Linked DNA regions of Lonchura striata. The protein of the gene in region 2 binds, or shares a complex with, the protein of the main gene of each other region. Links are inferred from orthologs where the notes say so. Each region holds a gene or a part of one and is shown on either strand. Other genes may lie near its edges.

Region 1 (7,433 bases), on a different chromosome or scaffold from region 2:
GTTTCTAAGGCTGGAGGATGGCACAAACAGGGAGGCTTCTAGTTTAATCGACCTAGCAAGTGGTTAATAGATGTGCTCTAGTGTCAGCACAGATTCCTTTAGGCCTGTCGGCAGACAGGAAAAGTTTGATTCAGCAGCAGATTCTGGCAGCAGTGGATGCAATCACACAGCAATGTTTGGATCCTTTCTTGGCGAGCTCCCAGATGTGGGTTTTGGCGACTGCTTGTCAGCCAGAGGGGACATTCTGCATGGGCCTGGCTTGTCATTTGGCTTCTCATCCTTCATTTCCAACCTAGAGATAAAGCCACAAGAGAAGGCAGTGCAGCAGTTTGGCTCACAGAGCATTAGATGTGCTACTTTGTCATTTTTAGTTGATGCAATTTCTTCTCTTTCCTTCTGAGCAGTTCCTGCTGTGGTGCAGGGTTGGAGCTGGATGCTCAGTGTTGAATGAGAAGATGGAGCCTTCTCTGCCCCACGAGTGAACAAGGAGTTTCTGCTTATCCAAGCCAACAGCAAAGAGAGTGTCTGATGTTACAGCAAAGGCACAGAAGCTGTGCAGATGCAGAGCAGAAGCTTTACTTTTTCTATAATCAATCAAAATAGAGCAAAATAAGCTAAATAAGGTACTTAAGCAAGTACTGAGAAAATAAGAGTGGAAATGGCACATATAATTGATTTCTCTCCTGTGAAGATGTACATGGAGAAAAAAATTGATTAAGAGGTAACTTTTGAGAAGATATAAGAAGAGTAATATCCAATTTGACTTAACTTCCTCCTTAAACAGAGGAGAAAGAAGAAGGTAAAAAGACATAAATGAAGGCAAGCATCAAGGCTGGAATTTCTGGTAGGCTAAAAAGAGTGGAGCAATAAATTAAGAAACAGTATGAGATTATAGTATAAAGGCCAGTTATGCTCATGGGAACAAAAAAAACATTTTGATATGATAGAGAACCAGAATCACTAGAAGGATGACATGAGAGAGCACAACATATTTGAATCAATAAGAAAGGAGAAAATTGAGAGGAGCTAATGATCAAGCTAGATAAATTACCTGGGTCTAAATGAAAATAATTTTAGGTGTTGAAACCAAGATAAATTGAGACATTGCAGGGAAAGAAACCACAGCTAGACAGGGTCTTGATAAGAAGATATAAAGAAAGCAGATTTCTTGCTGTGTGAAAGTGCAACTGAAGTGATGAGGAGGAAGCTGGTCCGAGTATGACTGACAGAGAAGTGCCTATAACAGGAGCTGTACAGAAAGGGAGGTGATTTGGTATTCCACATGAGGGCAACTCCAAGGCAGGGAGGCCAAGGAAGTTGGATTAAACTTTGACCTGGCCAGGAGGCAGCAGAGCTAAGTATGCAACCTGTAAATAATCAGCAGCTATTTTGCAAGTATTAACTGGCAAATAGAATTCCTGGTTCAACAGTATTCAGAAATGGCTGTAGGTAAGATTGTCCCAAGAGGTTAATTTAGAATGATGTTGCTTGTCATAAGCACTAGGACAAACCTGCACTCATGAAAGCTTATGATGCCCTCTGAACTTCTGTAAGTGGATATAAGAACAAACAGAATTTGGCCTCCTTTATTTTGTCATTATACCTCATTTTATTAATGTTTGGTATAATCTGCTTTTAAATACAGTCACACTTAACTGAAATTATTGAGCTGGCACACTTCACTAAATCTCAAGGTGCAGTACTGACTTCTTAGAGCCCTAAACAGAAAGTGCAAATGAGAACAACTCTTAGAAAAGAAGAACCCACACATCAAACCAAAACCTGCTCATCTCAACGTCCTCCTTCTAAAATGTATAATAGGAAGCACAACTTAACAAAAGTGGTAGACCCTGTTTCTGCATTTGACAATTTGTTAACCCAAGTACAGCTTTATAGCAGGTAAAGCCAAGCTAGAACCCTTGCAAACTTTGACAACCCCAGGCTTAGCTGTTATTTACCAAGGGCTGCGTTTACAGATCTCTGCCTGAAATATTCAATAAACAAGATTATTTTGGTTCATATTCTAGTGAACAAGAGATTTATGCATTATCAAGTGCAGTGGAGCTACTCTTCAACAACAGTAATATTATTTTGTCTTTAAAAAAAGAAGAAATATTGACCAAAAATGGGTAATAGACAAGAAGTGCTAAATTATTTCATTTACAAACATACAACTGCATTAGTTTCAATAAAATCCAACTACTCCAAACATCAGGTAACCTTACACTGAATAGTTTCAATAGTTCTTCCAAATCCTACTCATTGCTGGACAGCAGCTACAGCCCTGACCGGAGCCAAGACGGAAATTTAATGTTGAATTCTGTGCGATCCTTTTTGTTGTGTATTCAGGCAGTACGGCAGAGCTGCAAGCCAAGCCGTTCCCCCGTTACAATGGCGTAGGTGGAGCCATTCCTTGGCCTCTGGGACGTTTGACTAGATTTATAGCGCAAGAATTTACCGGGGGCTTGGGCTGTTTCGCAACAACCACACGTAGGACACGAAGTCTAAGGGACGAACACCACCGTGGGGCCCGGAGCGCGGCGGGCGGGGCAGTCCCGCGCGGGGCAGTCCCGGCGGCACAGGCCGCGCCCCGCGCCGCTGCGCGCGGGCCCCGCCGCTCCAGCCAATGGCAGCGCGCCCTTCCCCGCCCGGCGCCGCCATTGGCCGGGGCCGCCGCTTCCGCCGAGGGCCGGGATTGGCGGCGGCGCGCGGGCGCGAAAGGCGGCGGCGGCAGCAAAAAGCAAAACCCCGGCGCGCGCCGGTGCCCGCGTGAGTGCCCGTCCGCGCGCGCGTGTCCCCGCTCCTTCCCCTCCCTCTCCCTCATGCCGCCCCGGGGCCCGGCCCGGCCCGGCCCGCTCCTCTGGGGGTCCCCGCTCCGCGCGCCCTCCGCCCCTCAGTGCCCGCCAACCCCCAGCGGCGGCTGCCCGCCCGGCCGGGGTGGAGCCGAGTGACGGCTCCACGCGGGAGCCGCAGGGCCCGTCTGTAGCCCGTGAGCCCCGGGCCGCCGGGGAAGGCCGCGGTGTGCGCTTGGGCCGGGGCCCCGCTGGCGGGCGCTGTCCCGTAGGGGCAGTGGCGGGCTCGGCGCGTTGCCGCTCTGTGTGGCCCTGGTGACACCAGCAGCGCGCACGGGGCTTTGGCTGCGGGACGGCTCTGGCTCGCCTGTAGCCGGCGGCTGTTCTGTATCAGTGTGTGCAGCCCTTGTGCTGCTGCTGGGGCCATGGTGCTGCCCGCTCGGAACAGGGGTATCTGATCTGCCTCCTCACCCTAGCAGCGGGAGTGCCTGCCTGTGAGAGATCAGCACCGGCTCCAGTCGCGTTCCAGCGCTGTCCAAGTCCCTCTCCACCAAACCTCCCGCAAAAAACGGGGCTCGAGAAAGACGGCTCCTGCCTCTTGTCCCTGTTGTTACACAAGGATGACAGCGTAAAGGCAGCTCAAATTCTTTGGGGACAAAATGTATTTCTGGCTCCATAGCTGAAACAGATGAATCCTTGCATCAGGAGTTTTTCAGAATTTGTTTCCCCCACGTGGAAAAGTTCATCCAGATCTATAAAGGTTTAGCATACTGACAAGGAGGGAAGGCTTTTGAATAGAACTAGTTTTGAGTAACTGTTAAGAGCTGCTGCTTCCAGGCTCATTTATCACTGGTTGTTCTGCCCTGGAAGTCCCTGCCACTCTTTTGCTCCTGAAAAACAATTATCAGGTTTTTTTGGTTTTGTGGGGGTTTTTTTGTTGGTTTTTTTTTTTTTTTTTTTTGGATTGTACAGTTTTAGTGGACTTCACTAGTTCATAGTTTTATGTGGTGTTTCCAAGATTTGGGAAGAAGCATTTCAAAATAAGCATGTTCTATTTTTCTTGTGGTGGGAGGGCAATGAACAATTATATTTTGTTGAATTTATCTAGGAGGGAGAGATCTCTCTTATGGAGAAGATATTTTTTTCTCTTATACTTTCTTTCAATCTTTCTGACTTTCTATAGCTTTTGCAGTGTGCAGTGCAGCTATTTCTGTGTACATCAGCCTTTCAAAGCAAACTTTAGGGAAAAGACAATGTTTAATGTGAATGAGGAAACATGAGAGATGAAAATCAGTTGTATTTAAGCGTATCCTGCAGTCTTCCTTCCCACCCCCATCCTCATTGCTTTACTGGTTTACTGTTTCACTTGGATGGTGGGTACACTTTCTTTTAGTTTGCACAGAGGAACTCCTCAGACTCCCCTAAATCTCATCTCAGGAACTGACTGCAGGGCTAGGAAGTGTCTTACCAGATATGCTTGCTCCCCCAGGTGTCCAGAAGTGGCCCTCGAAGTCTTGTATTTTTTTTCACTTGAGACTTGTTTTGTGATGGAGACGGTGTTGAAGTCTCCCTGTGATGAACAGCACCCTCAGCAGGCTGAAGAATTCCACGGGAATCTTGAGCAGAGCAGCAAGGTTTCAGGTATGTGCTGAAATAGGGATTGTGAACATTGCATTTTGTTGCCGATATGCTGCTTCATCACTTGGGGAAATGTCAGTATTGATTATAAGCCTTTCTGTATAAGATTTTGCTAAACCTACTATTAATATATTACAGAACATGTTATTATAAGAGGATACCAGAATGAAAAAAAGGCAGCCCTTGAGAATAAAACTGACCAGACAAGTGCACAAACCCAGTATTTTGCCTTTTAACCTATAATCACCAGCCTTATGCTTCAATAGATATGTTTATATCTATAAAAACACTCTTGTTTTTCTTGTAGAAGTTGAACTGAAAGAGGTTTTGTTGGTTGTTTCTGAGTCTCTTTGTGTACCTGAGTCTCCACTTTCTGTACAATGCTTGCTCAGGAATCCCTGATGGTCAGCCAGTTCATAGATATAATGGCTTCTGATTTTTTTAAAATACATAATCCTCTCTTAGACTCCTGCATATCCATGCCCAGATTGATGCTGAACAGTGTTTGTATTGCTTTGCAAATAGGAGAAGAAATCACTTTAAAATCTGGTCATAGAAAATGCTGGCTAATATTATTAATATTATTTCTCTGATGGCACAATGACTTTATGTTCTCTGTACCCAGCTGAGGATTCAGGACCCTGGAACAGATCAGGTGATGTTTACACTGCTGTCCTTCAACAAGGACAATCACTGACTTTTTCCAGCACTTCTCTCTTTCACACAAACCAGCTCTGTTGAGCTCCTAAATGCTGTCAGTGCCTTGAGTAGGCACTGCAGCCTCTGCCACCCTGCTTGAAACGGTCTGACAGCTTTAACTTTCTCCAGGGAGGAATCTGAATTCAGTGTTGGACAAAATGGAGTATCTGGCAGATTCTAAAGCAGTTGTTGAGTTAGTTCTCCATGGTTGTTAGGATATACTCAGGATTTTTTCATTCCTGAAATATTTCACAAAATGTCTTAAAACAATTTGAAGAGGCAGAGAGAACAACATAAAGGGTAAAAAAGGAATGTAAACGGATAGTTAAGTGAGGCAGCAGGTTTCAGTTGTCAGAAGCATTTTTAGTATGTTAGTTTTTATAAAATCTTGAAATAAAAAAAAATTAAATTGAAAGTTAACTATGACTTGAATTACTAGCTGATTTATTGGGTTTTTAGCAGGAAGAAAGTGTTCTTCAGGCAGTTTTTGTTATTGTTTAAAGTAAGCTACATAGAAGGCTAGGGATGCATGTTAATATATGCTTTGATTCCAGCATATCTGTGATTAAAAAAAAAAAAATCTTATTGCTTATGATTTACTGCCTTGGTGAAACATGGTCCATTTTTACATATATAATACATTACAATTTATCTGTTTATGCTCAATTTAATCTGTTATTTATTTTTAGGATGAAAAATGTATACACATTTGATTGACTTTTCACAAATACCTTTTTGTGCTTTGTTCTGTATACTAAAATATTCTTTACCCCTGGCTTCACAGAAATTAGTCACAGCTTCTACACAATTTATAGCTTCAAAAGAAGTGAATTCTTCTGTGGGGTACAGAAAAGGCTTGAACAACAAGGATTTGTAAACTGAATGGAAAACTACATCATTTTCTTGAAATAATACATCCTTGTCGTGCCATCTAGTGATTACAGCACGAAGTGCAGCAGCCAAGATGCAGAGCAAACATGGGCTTTGGTGCCAACTATTTTAACTAACAGTGGGAAAGATGGCATTACCAATTTTTAAAATATCTAAAAAATACTGCTTTTTCTGCATTTGTGATTTGCATATGATGGATTTACACTTCTGCTACAGAATCAACTGTTACAGTTTTGCCTTTTGTCAATTGCCCTTGCAAATCCTATGTAAACATTTAGTGATGAGGTGTGGGTATCCTAGGAACCAGGCAGCTTTTGCCCTCTTGGAGTCTGCTGTCAGATAAGTAAAAATGTGTAAATGCTGCAGCTTAGAAAGAAGTGTGATGAAGAACAGCAATACCAAGTGTCCACATGGTAATGTTAACAGGATGGAAAACCTTTGTGCTGTTTTTTCCTTTGTGTATGTGAGTCCACAGTCCTATGAAATGTAATTTGTGATCTCCAGAATAGATCAGATATTGAATCAAGTAATAAAATTCCTAACTTATTTTCCCCATTCTTCCCACAGCAGGAGTAAAAAAAGATATTGAAAAACTTTATGAAGCAGTGCCACAGCTTGTAAATGTGTTTAAAATAAAGGAAAAAATTGGGGAAGGTAAATGTTTCATTTTATTTTGCTTGGAGTTAAGATTTCTTTTGGCATTTCTAACTTAAAAAGTGTAAATCTAAGATCCTAATATACACAATTTAAGCCAAATGCCTTTTCTTGACTTATTACATGGTCTCTAGGAATTCTAATATGCTTCTGAGCACATAGGTGTATTAATTAGGAACACTTTCAAGATATTTTCTTGAAAATCTGGTCTATTAAAGCCTTGCTAAAAAAACAGCATTCCAATTTTGGCAATTAAAAATTTTTGATGTAGATTCAAGTAAATAGCCTTAAAAATCCCTTCGTTTTCTCCCTTACATGAGAAATCTACTTACATGTAGCTGTGTTCTGAAATACTTAATTGGTGATCCTTAAGTTAGCTTTGTTTCCACTACAATCTCTTGGGCAGAAGTGGATAAGGAAACTGAAATGTTGGAGCTGCTTTACTTAAAATTGAACAACTTTTTATTTTTGAAGATTTATGGTATCAAATTTTAGAATGCTTGTGTTCCCATTGCCTTCAAAAGACAGTATTGCAAATACCTTTAAATTAGTGTCAGGCATGACTATAAATAGATTCAGGTACTTCTGAGTGTGGGACTTCAGCACTTAAAAGATAGTGTAATTAAACAAAATTTCTGGTTTTACTATTGAGAGCAAACAGTGTTTTTAAAAAATACCATTTGCAGTACAACAGCATTATGAGAAAACAAGCTTCAGCTAAGGATTCCACTCTGGAATCACTTTCATTTTAGCAGTTCT
Region 2 (7,607 bases):
ATTTTCTTAAAACATCTGGGGAAAGAGGTTGGGATTCAATGGATTAGAATACACCTAAGACCAGACATTATTACAGAGTCTCAAAAGATAGAGAGTCTGGCAGATCACAGAAAGGACTTAGAGGAAGGAAAAAGCAAATAGCTTTAGAGGAGACAGCCTTGATGAACTAATCCTGTGAGGTAAAAAGTTGAATGGAAAAAACAAAGAAATGGTTCATTACAACAAACCTGACTAGCTTTGAAAGGAAGCCAAGCATCCCTAGAGGTCCAAACATGGTTTAACAAAAAATACACATTTATACTAGCTGGTTAGTATCTTTATAACCCAGTTTCAACAAGTTTACAAAACAGGAAGGTAATAGATAAGACTAATTTTTTTTAAAAAAAAGAAGATGAAGTTATATGATAGTCATTCTTCTTTGAGAATCAACTTGTTCTGGCAAAACCAGGCATAAATTCATGTCAAATAGAAAACTAAGAAACTTTCTAAAATTATATAGAAAATGCAACTGAAAAAAATCACACTTGTAAAGTTCTTAATTAAAAAAAAAACCAAAAACCTCTTAAACTGCTGAAGACACCTTATGCATTAATCTCAAGATTTTAATTCATGGCAGAGTCAAAAAAAATTGTCTAATGAACCAGCATGACAGTATCTGCCAGCAAGTCTGTTTCAAGTGTTTAGGAAAATGCTAGCCCTACAAGTCTAGATATTTGACAGGATAGATACTTCTCTGGATAGAGAACTTGACACATGGACTTAACTTTAAACACCACCTGCACCATTAGTTCAGCTGAGGAGCACACTGGGAGATGTGTGGGCACAAGGGCTGTAAGCAGGAAAGAGAAAATTATTACCTGCAATCAGGAACTACTGCCAGTACAGCCGAAGTGGGGAAAATCAAATAATAAAGCCAGAAACCTTTGAGGAGAGCTGTGCAACTGCCTCCTTGTTCATCTTTAGGAAGAAATATGTATATTTTTGCAGACAGTAGAAGGTATGATCAAACAGCAGTGTAACCAATCTCATCAATCAGCAGTGTAACCACATGAAGACCTTCTCAAATGATAACAGATTCCAGTACAACCCAAAAAAACCTGAAAACTTTAGAGTATGCTACTTAAAAATGCAGTTTTATATACATGCAAAATGTTCTTACCCATGTCCCTTTAAAATGTCCAGGTTTTTTATACCAGGCTTTGCTGTCCTCACTTCCACAAACATATACATGATCCATAAGGCCATTGGAGTATACAAAACACTTTCCTAATAAAATGGTGTATAAGAATATAGTTAATGCTTATAAGATTGTTTTTAGGCAACAGCAATTTCAAATTGGATATAATGGCAACACAGATTTATTTCTGGTTAGTTACAGAGGGGCAAAATAATTTGGTAAGTCAGTAATGACAGATTAGGTCAAAGGAAAGAGGGTACAAATGTACCACTCAGACTGCCCAAGTAAATGGAACTGCCTTCACAAGGCTCCAAGAGACATATTCAGGTTATATTACCATCTGCTGAAAGGTAAAAGTAACAGAAGACCTATATATCACTACTGTATGTAACTGTGAACATCTTTCAGACTTTTAAATCTTTTATTAAGTAGCCTCAGCATCCAATTCAAGTGGAGGTATTGTATCTTGTTATTGTTATTATTATATCTTATCTTGGTCTGTATTTATACTAGATCATCCCCTCCATTTGTTTTTCATTTCTCCTACATTATGTGCTTTCAACCTGTTTGATAAAATATTATTGCCATTACAAAAACATACTTTAAGCTTCACATTTGCAGATTGCTGAAGGCTTTAGAACTTACTCAAAACCAGGATAGAAGGCACAAGTATTTTTCCTAATTTAATTTGCAAGTGTGACTGCAAATACCTCCACATTCAACATGAAAAACCAATCATCTTCTTTCCTTTTAAATCTTATTTACTAAGTACAAGTAAATAGTAGGAACCATTAGCACATCTCTGAGAGCACAATATCTTCATCTATTTAGAACCCAAGAGACAAGGGACTTGTTAAGACTTGTCCATTTCAAAAATCTCTGGATTCTGGAGGAGATGAACTTTGATATAACATCCTGACCACTTAAGCCCTCTGATGAAATATTTATTCATTTAGTAACAGCTTTTTATTGTTTGACTCAACTTAGTATTAGTTGTACATTCTGCCATAATAAAAATATTAAGACAGAAAAAAAAAAAAAGCCTGTTAAAAATGGTATAGATGTATGGGATTTTTTCTGTTTAGTACATATTAGCCTGTTGCTTTCCCCTGCCCCCACCCCCAGTTATATTAGAGACACAAAATCAAACATTCTGCACCTCAGCACAGCATTATGACAACTATCAGCTAAATACAAGAGCAAAAAGCAAACTGTGTCCCCCATTACACTACGTATTTGTTTGTTTACCTTTATGGAATGGATTCCTTTGGGCTTGCAGTCGAATTTTGATAACATCAAGAGGAGTTACTAAAATAAAACAGAAGTCATTTAGAAACACTCAGTATGCCCTGAAAATGTAGAAGTCTACAGAGGCTTTATCATGAACTTTTACAACCTTTTTTTTGTTTCGGGGTGGCGGGGCGGGGAGTAGGGAGAGAACCCCACCTAACAGATTTTACAGTGTTATCAAGCAGAGAGAAAAGGGATGTTAGCAGACAGAGACAATGCTATCAGAGACAAAGGACAACTACACACCCTATATGGTTTGCAAGATATCAGATCTATCTTTTCTAATTTACCAACAGCTGCATAGGCATGAAATATTAGAGATACACAAAGCTCATTCAAAAACCACTGTGTCATGTTGTCAGTTATTGCTTTTATAAATAGCATACCGTAAGGCAAACAAAATCAAATTTTGGCCTCTGGCATATAAAACAGCACAACATTCTTCATGTGTTTGTTCTTTTTCAATAAACTGACCATAATACAACTTTCAAGAAAACAAAAGTTAAATTCATTTTGTACTTTTCTTTTCTTGTTGCATGTAGCCAATATGTAAAACATTTGGGTTCTTGAAAAGTGAAGGTTTAGTGAACATTTCACTGCTTCCACTGCAGCCCTTACAGCTGTCACAGGCTGAGACATGTTGAACGCTGCAGTGGCTGGGCAGCTGGGCCATCTTCCTCTGATTATGTCGGCTGAGGGCTCGATTCCACATGTTCGTGGAAACATACATAAGGAGACCTCATGCTGAGTCAAACTGAAGAGTAATCACTTTGTAAGATTCTCTCTGTGGCCAGCTTCATAGTATGCCTTACCAAATAATGATGTAATTATAGCTCCACAACAAGAGGCTATTGCTTGCTGAGCAATGGTTAGTTTTTGTACATTGATATCACTCATTTCAGCCATGGCTTTATCTCCAGAGTAGAAAAACCTGTTAAGGAACAGAAAAACATATTGTAAGACTACGCTCAAAATTTGCAGAAAAAAAGTCAAGGGATAAATATTTTCAATTTTCATTACTAAGTTATGTAGAACCAGCAATATTACTTTTCTACTTATATAGAAGCATCTCAGTAATTTTTGAGATTATTTGAGCCATATTTTGCAAGTAAGTTTTCTAAAGACAATAAATCTTCAAAATTCTTCTTAAATGAATTACATTTACATGTTCTTGCAAACCCCATTAAACGTTTACCACATATTGACTTTAACTGCAACAAAGTGTCTACAAACAAGCAAATAATCCTTACCAAGATAAACTGCCAGCCTGTAGCCCATAAACTGAAGCACTGCAGAATAATTGACTCAGCCCTTCTCTTGCTCCCATCTCCTCTGAGAGAAGCCAGAAAGGTCTCCTGGCTGAGCCCACCGCCTGCTAGTGATGACTGTGTGCCCTGGCACTCCTCTGTAACAGGCAGGGACTAGCTACTCATAATGCTACCAGCAAATGCTAATTCCTCGAATTCCAGCAATTTAGGAATGCATTCACAATATCTGCAACTAGCCAGGACAGGAGAAGATAATAAAAATACTTCAGAAAATAAAATCCTCAAATAGAGGAGTGTCTGTCAAAATGCATCGTTGCGCTTAAGTGCAGCCCTAACTTTGTTAGAACCATTGATCTAAATTTTTCACTGGCTTCACAAGAATGTTTTGTTATTTTCACTACGCTTCAAGTTAGAAAGGATTAAGTAGCACAAACCGGCTCTGTCCTCTCAGGTGCTAACAACTGCAACGGCAGGTGGGGATATTGTTTATTTTTCAGGTATCTCTAACTCAGAAGGGGACCGCAGCCCAGAATTGCGTACATACCCGATTATCAGCGGCGCCGACGGGTGCAAAGGTCTCCGCCACTCAGGCACGGTCCGGCCGGTGGCGAGGGGGGAAGAACGCCGCCACTCCTACTGCTCCGCCCGCGCCGAGCCCGCGCAGCTCGGTCCCCACAGCCGCCTGCCTTCCCCTGCCCGCCTTCCCCTGCCCGCCTTCCTTCCCCCGCCTCCCTGCCCGCCCGCCTTCCCCGCCCCGGGGCGGGCGGGGCCGGCCGCGCGGGCGGTTGGTGAGGGCGCCGGGGCCGCCGCGGCGCAGGCGGGAAGGCGGCGCGGAGCGGAGCGGCGGTGCCGAGCGGAGCGGCGGTGCCGTGCCGGCGGGGCGCGATGTGACTCCGCGGGAAGATGAAGCCGAGCGCTGCCGAGGCCGCCGACAAAGGAGCGCGTCCCCGTAAGCTGCGGGGAGCTGCCGCCGGCAGGCCTGGCTTAGCCGGGGCCGCCATCCCGGCCGGGGCTGTGAGGCGCCGCAGCCGCCTCGTGCCGCGCTTGGGCCGAGCCTCGGGCCGGCGCTGCGGGCGGGGGCGGCTGGAAGGGCCCTGGTGTGCCCTGGGGAGTTACGCGTAAAAGCGTGTTCCTGGTGTGTGGGAAATGGCCGGGCCGCTGCTCCCTCCGGGCTGGCATCGCTGGTACTTGTGTGAAGGGCTCCTTAGGCCCAGGGGGTGAGAACGCACCCCCATAGCAATGAAGAGAACTCTTCATTGCTGTTGTAGTTTTGCTAATGCGCTCCAAACTTCTGATTATCCCTGAGCCGTTTAATCTGCGTGCTCCAATATTAATTCCAGTTAATTTCTAAACGGCCCTGGCATGTGTGTGGTGAGTTTTACACTGTATTTTATCCGTGATCATCTACGGAATTGTCCTTGCACACTTGCTTATCATCCATCCTTTCTGTTCAGATTCTGGATCAGTTGCACCAACCTATATCTCTTAATTTTCTTATTTCTCTAGGTTTTTTTGTCTTCCACACCGTACGAAACTGACTGCTGTTCCTGCGTTTTTTAGTGTGCTCATATACCTTAGAGGATTTTGCAGCATGAGTAGTGGTTCTGCTCTCTATCCTACCTGGGACTGTTTCAGGGAGGGAAGGAATACTTTCAACAGAGGGACTGTTTTGCATTTTGCCTTTTTGTCTCCAGAAGAGGCCTGCTCACTTCCTGTGGCAGCTCTCATTGTCTTGAGCTCCAAAAGAGAAGCAGCTAGGAGTAAGTCAGTGAGGAAGAAGAACCAATGTAAAGCCAATATGTGGAACTGTGCTTTGAGCAACGTGATCTAGTGAAAGTGTCCCTGCTTATGGCAGGGAGGTTGAAACTAGATGATCTCTAAGGTCCATTCCAGCCCAAGCCTTTCTATGGAAGCTTGCTCCATCCATTTCCTTAATTTAGGAATTTTCCCTTTCAAAAATAAAGCCGACATCCAATTCTGTTTAAATTGCCTGGTTTTTTTTTTCTGCTTTCCCCAGCAGATGGAATACAAGCAAAAACAGAAAAGATAAGATCTTCCCTGAAGAATGTGAAAAAAGACACAGAAAAGCCAGAGAAACTCAAATTTAAGCCGCTCACTGGGAAGGTGTTTTACCTCGATATCCCATCAAATGTGATCTCTGAAAAGTTAGGAAAGGACCTCAAAGAGCTGGGAGGGGTAAGTTAATAAGAGTCATGTATGATCCTAGAAGGAAATGTGCACATGTGGAATGCCTTTTTTGTGTTCTTTGTAACTGCATTTTAATGTTATTTGTAGTTAGCTGAGATAGGGTCTTATTTTTCTATGTTTGTCTTAAACTTTAGTCCAAATAATGAGCTTATCAACAAATTATTCTGTGGGTTTTCAAGAGAAGCTGCTTTCCTGATTGGAACAAAAGTTCTTATTAGGAAGTTTTATTTTCAGTTGATTATTCACCTGGCTTAAATTTTAATCCAAATTTACTAGGTTTCATTGTTTGAGGCGATTTTTCTTCTGCTGCTTCTGACTATATTGACATGTTTACATGTTGCAACTAACAGTGCTTAGCTGAACCTGGAAGAGATTAAAGAAAGAGTTTTGTGTCTGTTTTCTGTAAGTCAGAAACTTCACTAAAAGCATTTTGCACAGAGTATCTTAGTGAGTGTTTTTGAATACTCTTACTTAAACAATAAGTTTTATAAGCATCTTACTAATTTTTTTACTAATTCTCCTTTCTATATGGAAGGAACTCTGATACAAGCAAGTACAGGATGCTTGTGTGGAGGGCACTTAGCAATGCCTCTCTCTGTATATCCTGGTTCTGTAAAAGATGCACAAACAGAATTGAAAGGCACAGTTTCAAGTTGTGTGATTTGTTCTTTCCACACTGATTAGTGGAAAAGAGGAAAATACCTCAAACTATACAATCTGACATGAAATAACAAGGCAGATAGCAAAACTGAAGTTGGCAATGAAAGAGACTGAAGGAGCAAAATTGAAGAGTGGACTCAGAATGATGGCATTTTTATATTGCTGAGTATAAGAATATGAATCTACTTAAGACTTTACTTTTTGGAGAAATATTATGAAAACTGTAGGTGTGAAACATGGTAGCTATCCTGAAATTTTATTTTTTCTGCTGGTTCTAAACTCAGTAAATTTATAGCTTGTTGCAGACTGTAAATTACATTTGCAAATACCTGCCTGTATGTTTAGCTGAACACTTCTGTATAATTCCTGTTACCTAAAATTAGAGTAATTTCCTTGAATTAATGTTATTCCTTAATGCAGTGTTTGCATTCTTGTAATTGGAACGTATTACAGGTAGGTAGTAAAAAATTGTAACAATCATAACAAAGCAAAGCTCTTTTAATGATGATTACAAAATTAAGAAATTGAAATTAGAATTTGTGGCTGGTAAGATACTAGTACAACTTAATTGTCATTGTCATCCAGATATTTAGAAAATATTTTCTTGTTAACTCAGTGTGTTTGAACTTAATTGTTTTAGAAATTTTATCTCTTTCCTTTAAAAGATTTCATGTAAAATTGAGTTACTGATCTATTGTCCTGAAATAATTACTTAGTTTATGTCTTTATATTTAGAGAGTGGAGAGTTTTCTTAGTAAAGATATCAACTATCTGGTGACTAATAAAAAGGAGGCAAAATTTGCACCAACTCTTGGCCAGATTTCTCCTGTTCCTAGTCCAGAATCTGCATCTAATGGAGGAAATGGTTCACCTCATCCTAGCAACCGAAAAGATCGACATGATGGAAGCTCATTTAAGATAGTAGATACAGTAAGTTTCTTAGTAATAATGCTGCAAATCAGGTGTGATCCATGGGATATGCTCTTAAAAATTTTTCTTCTATT

What was found.
Region 1: the proteins of DBF4 (region 2) and CDC7 are in contact, whole or in part, in a crystal structure (PDB 6YA8), measured with the Homo sapiens proteins. The link is inferred for Lonchura striata from reciprocal best matches to the Homo sapiens genes DBF4 and CDC7. Residues at the interface, in NP_006707.1 of Homo sapiens: Thr210, Arg211, Thr212, Gly213, Arg214, Leu215, Lys217, Pro218, Phe219, Val220, Lys221, Val222, Glu223, Asp224, Met225, Ser226, Gln227, Leu228, Tyr229, Arg230, Pro231, Phe232, Tyr233, Leu234, Leu236, Met239, Pro240, Ile242, Asn243, Tyr244; in NP_001127891.1 of Homo sapiens: Asn56, Val57, Phe58, Ala77, Gln78, Leu79, Gln80, Ile87, Ile93, Pro94, Thr95, Ser96, His97, Pro98, Ile99, Arg100, Ile101, Ala102, Leu105, Gln106, Thr109, Lys121, Tyr122, Cys123, Phe124, Arg125, Asn127, Asp128, Val130, Leu143.

What each region holds. Positions count from the first base shown.
Region 1 is NC_134611.1:20,213,732-20,221,164, forward strand, and holds the start of CDC7 (cell division cycle 7-related protein kinase), read left to right. Parts: upstream 1-4,339; coding exon 4,340-4,433; exon of another isoform or gene 4,434-4,440; intron 4,441-6,587; coding exon 6,588-6,674; intron 6,675-7,433. UniProt on the Homo sapiens protein: Kinase involved in initiation of DNA replication. Phosphorylates critical substrates that regulate the G1/S phase transition and initiation of DNA replication, such as MCM proteins and CLASPIN.
Region 2 is NC_134603.1:135,492,203-135,499,809, reverse strand, and holds the start of DBF4 (protein DBF4 homolog A), read left to right. Parts: upstream 1-4,545; 5' UTR 4,546-4,638; coding exon 4,639-4,684; intron 4,685-5,752; coding exon 5,753-5,931; intron 5,932-7,338; coding exon 7,339-7,533; intron 7,534-7,607. Other genes in the region: mitochondrial glutathione transporter SLC25A40, read right to left, coding at 1,160-1,266, 2,426-2,485, 3,280-3,373. UniProt on the Homo sapiens protein: Regulatory subunit for CDC7 which activates its kinase activity thereby playing a central role in DNA replication and cell proliferation. Required for progression of S phase.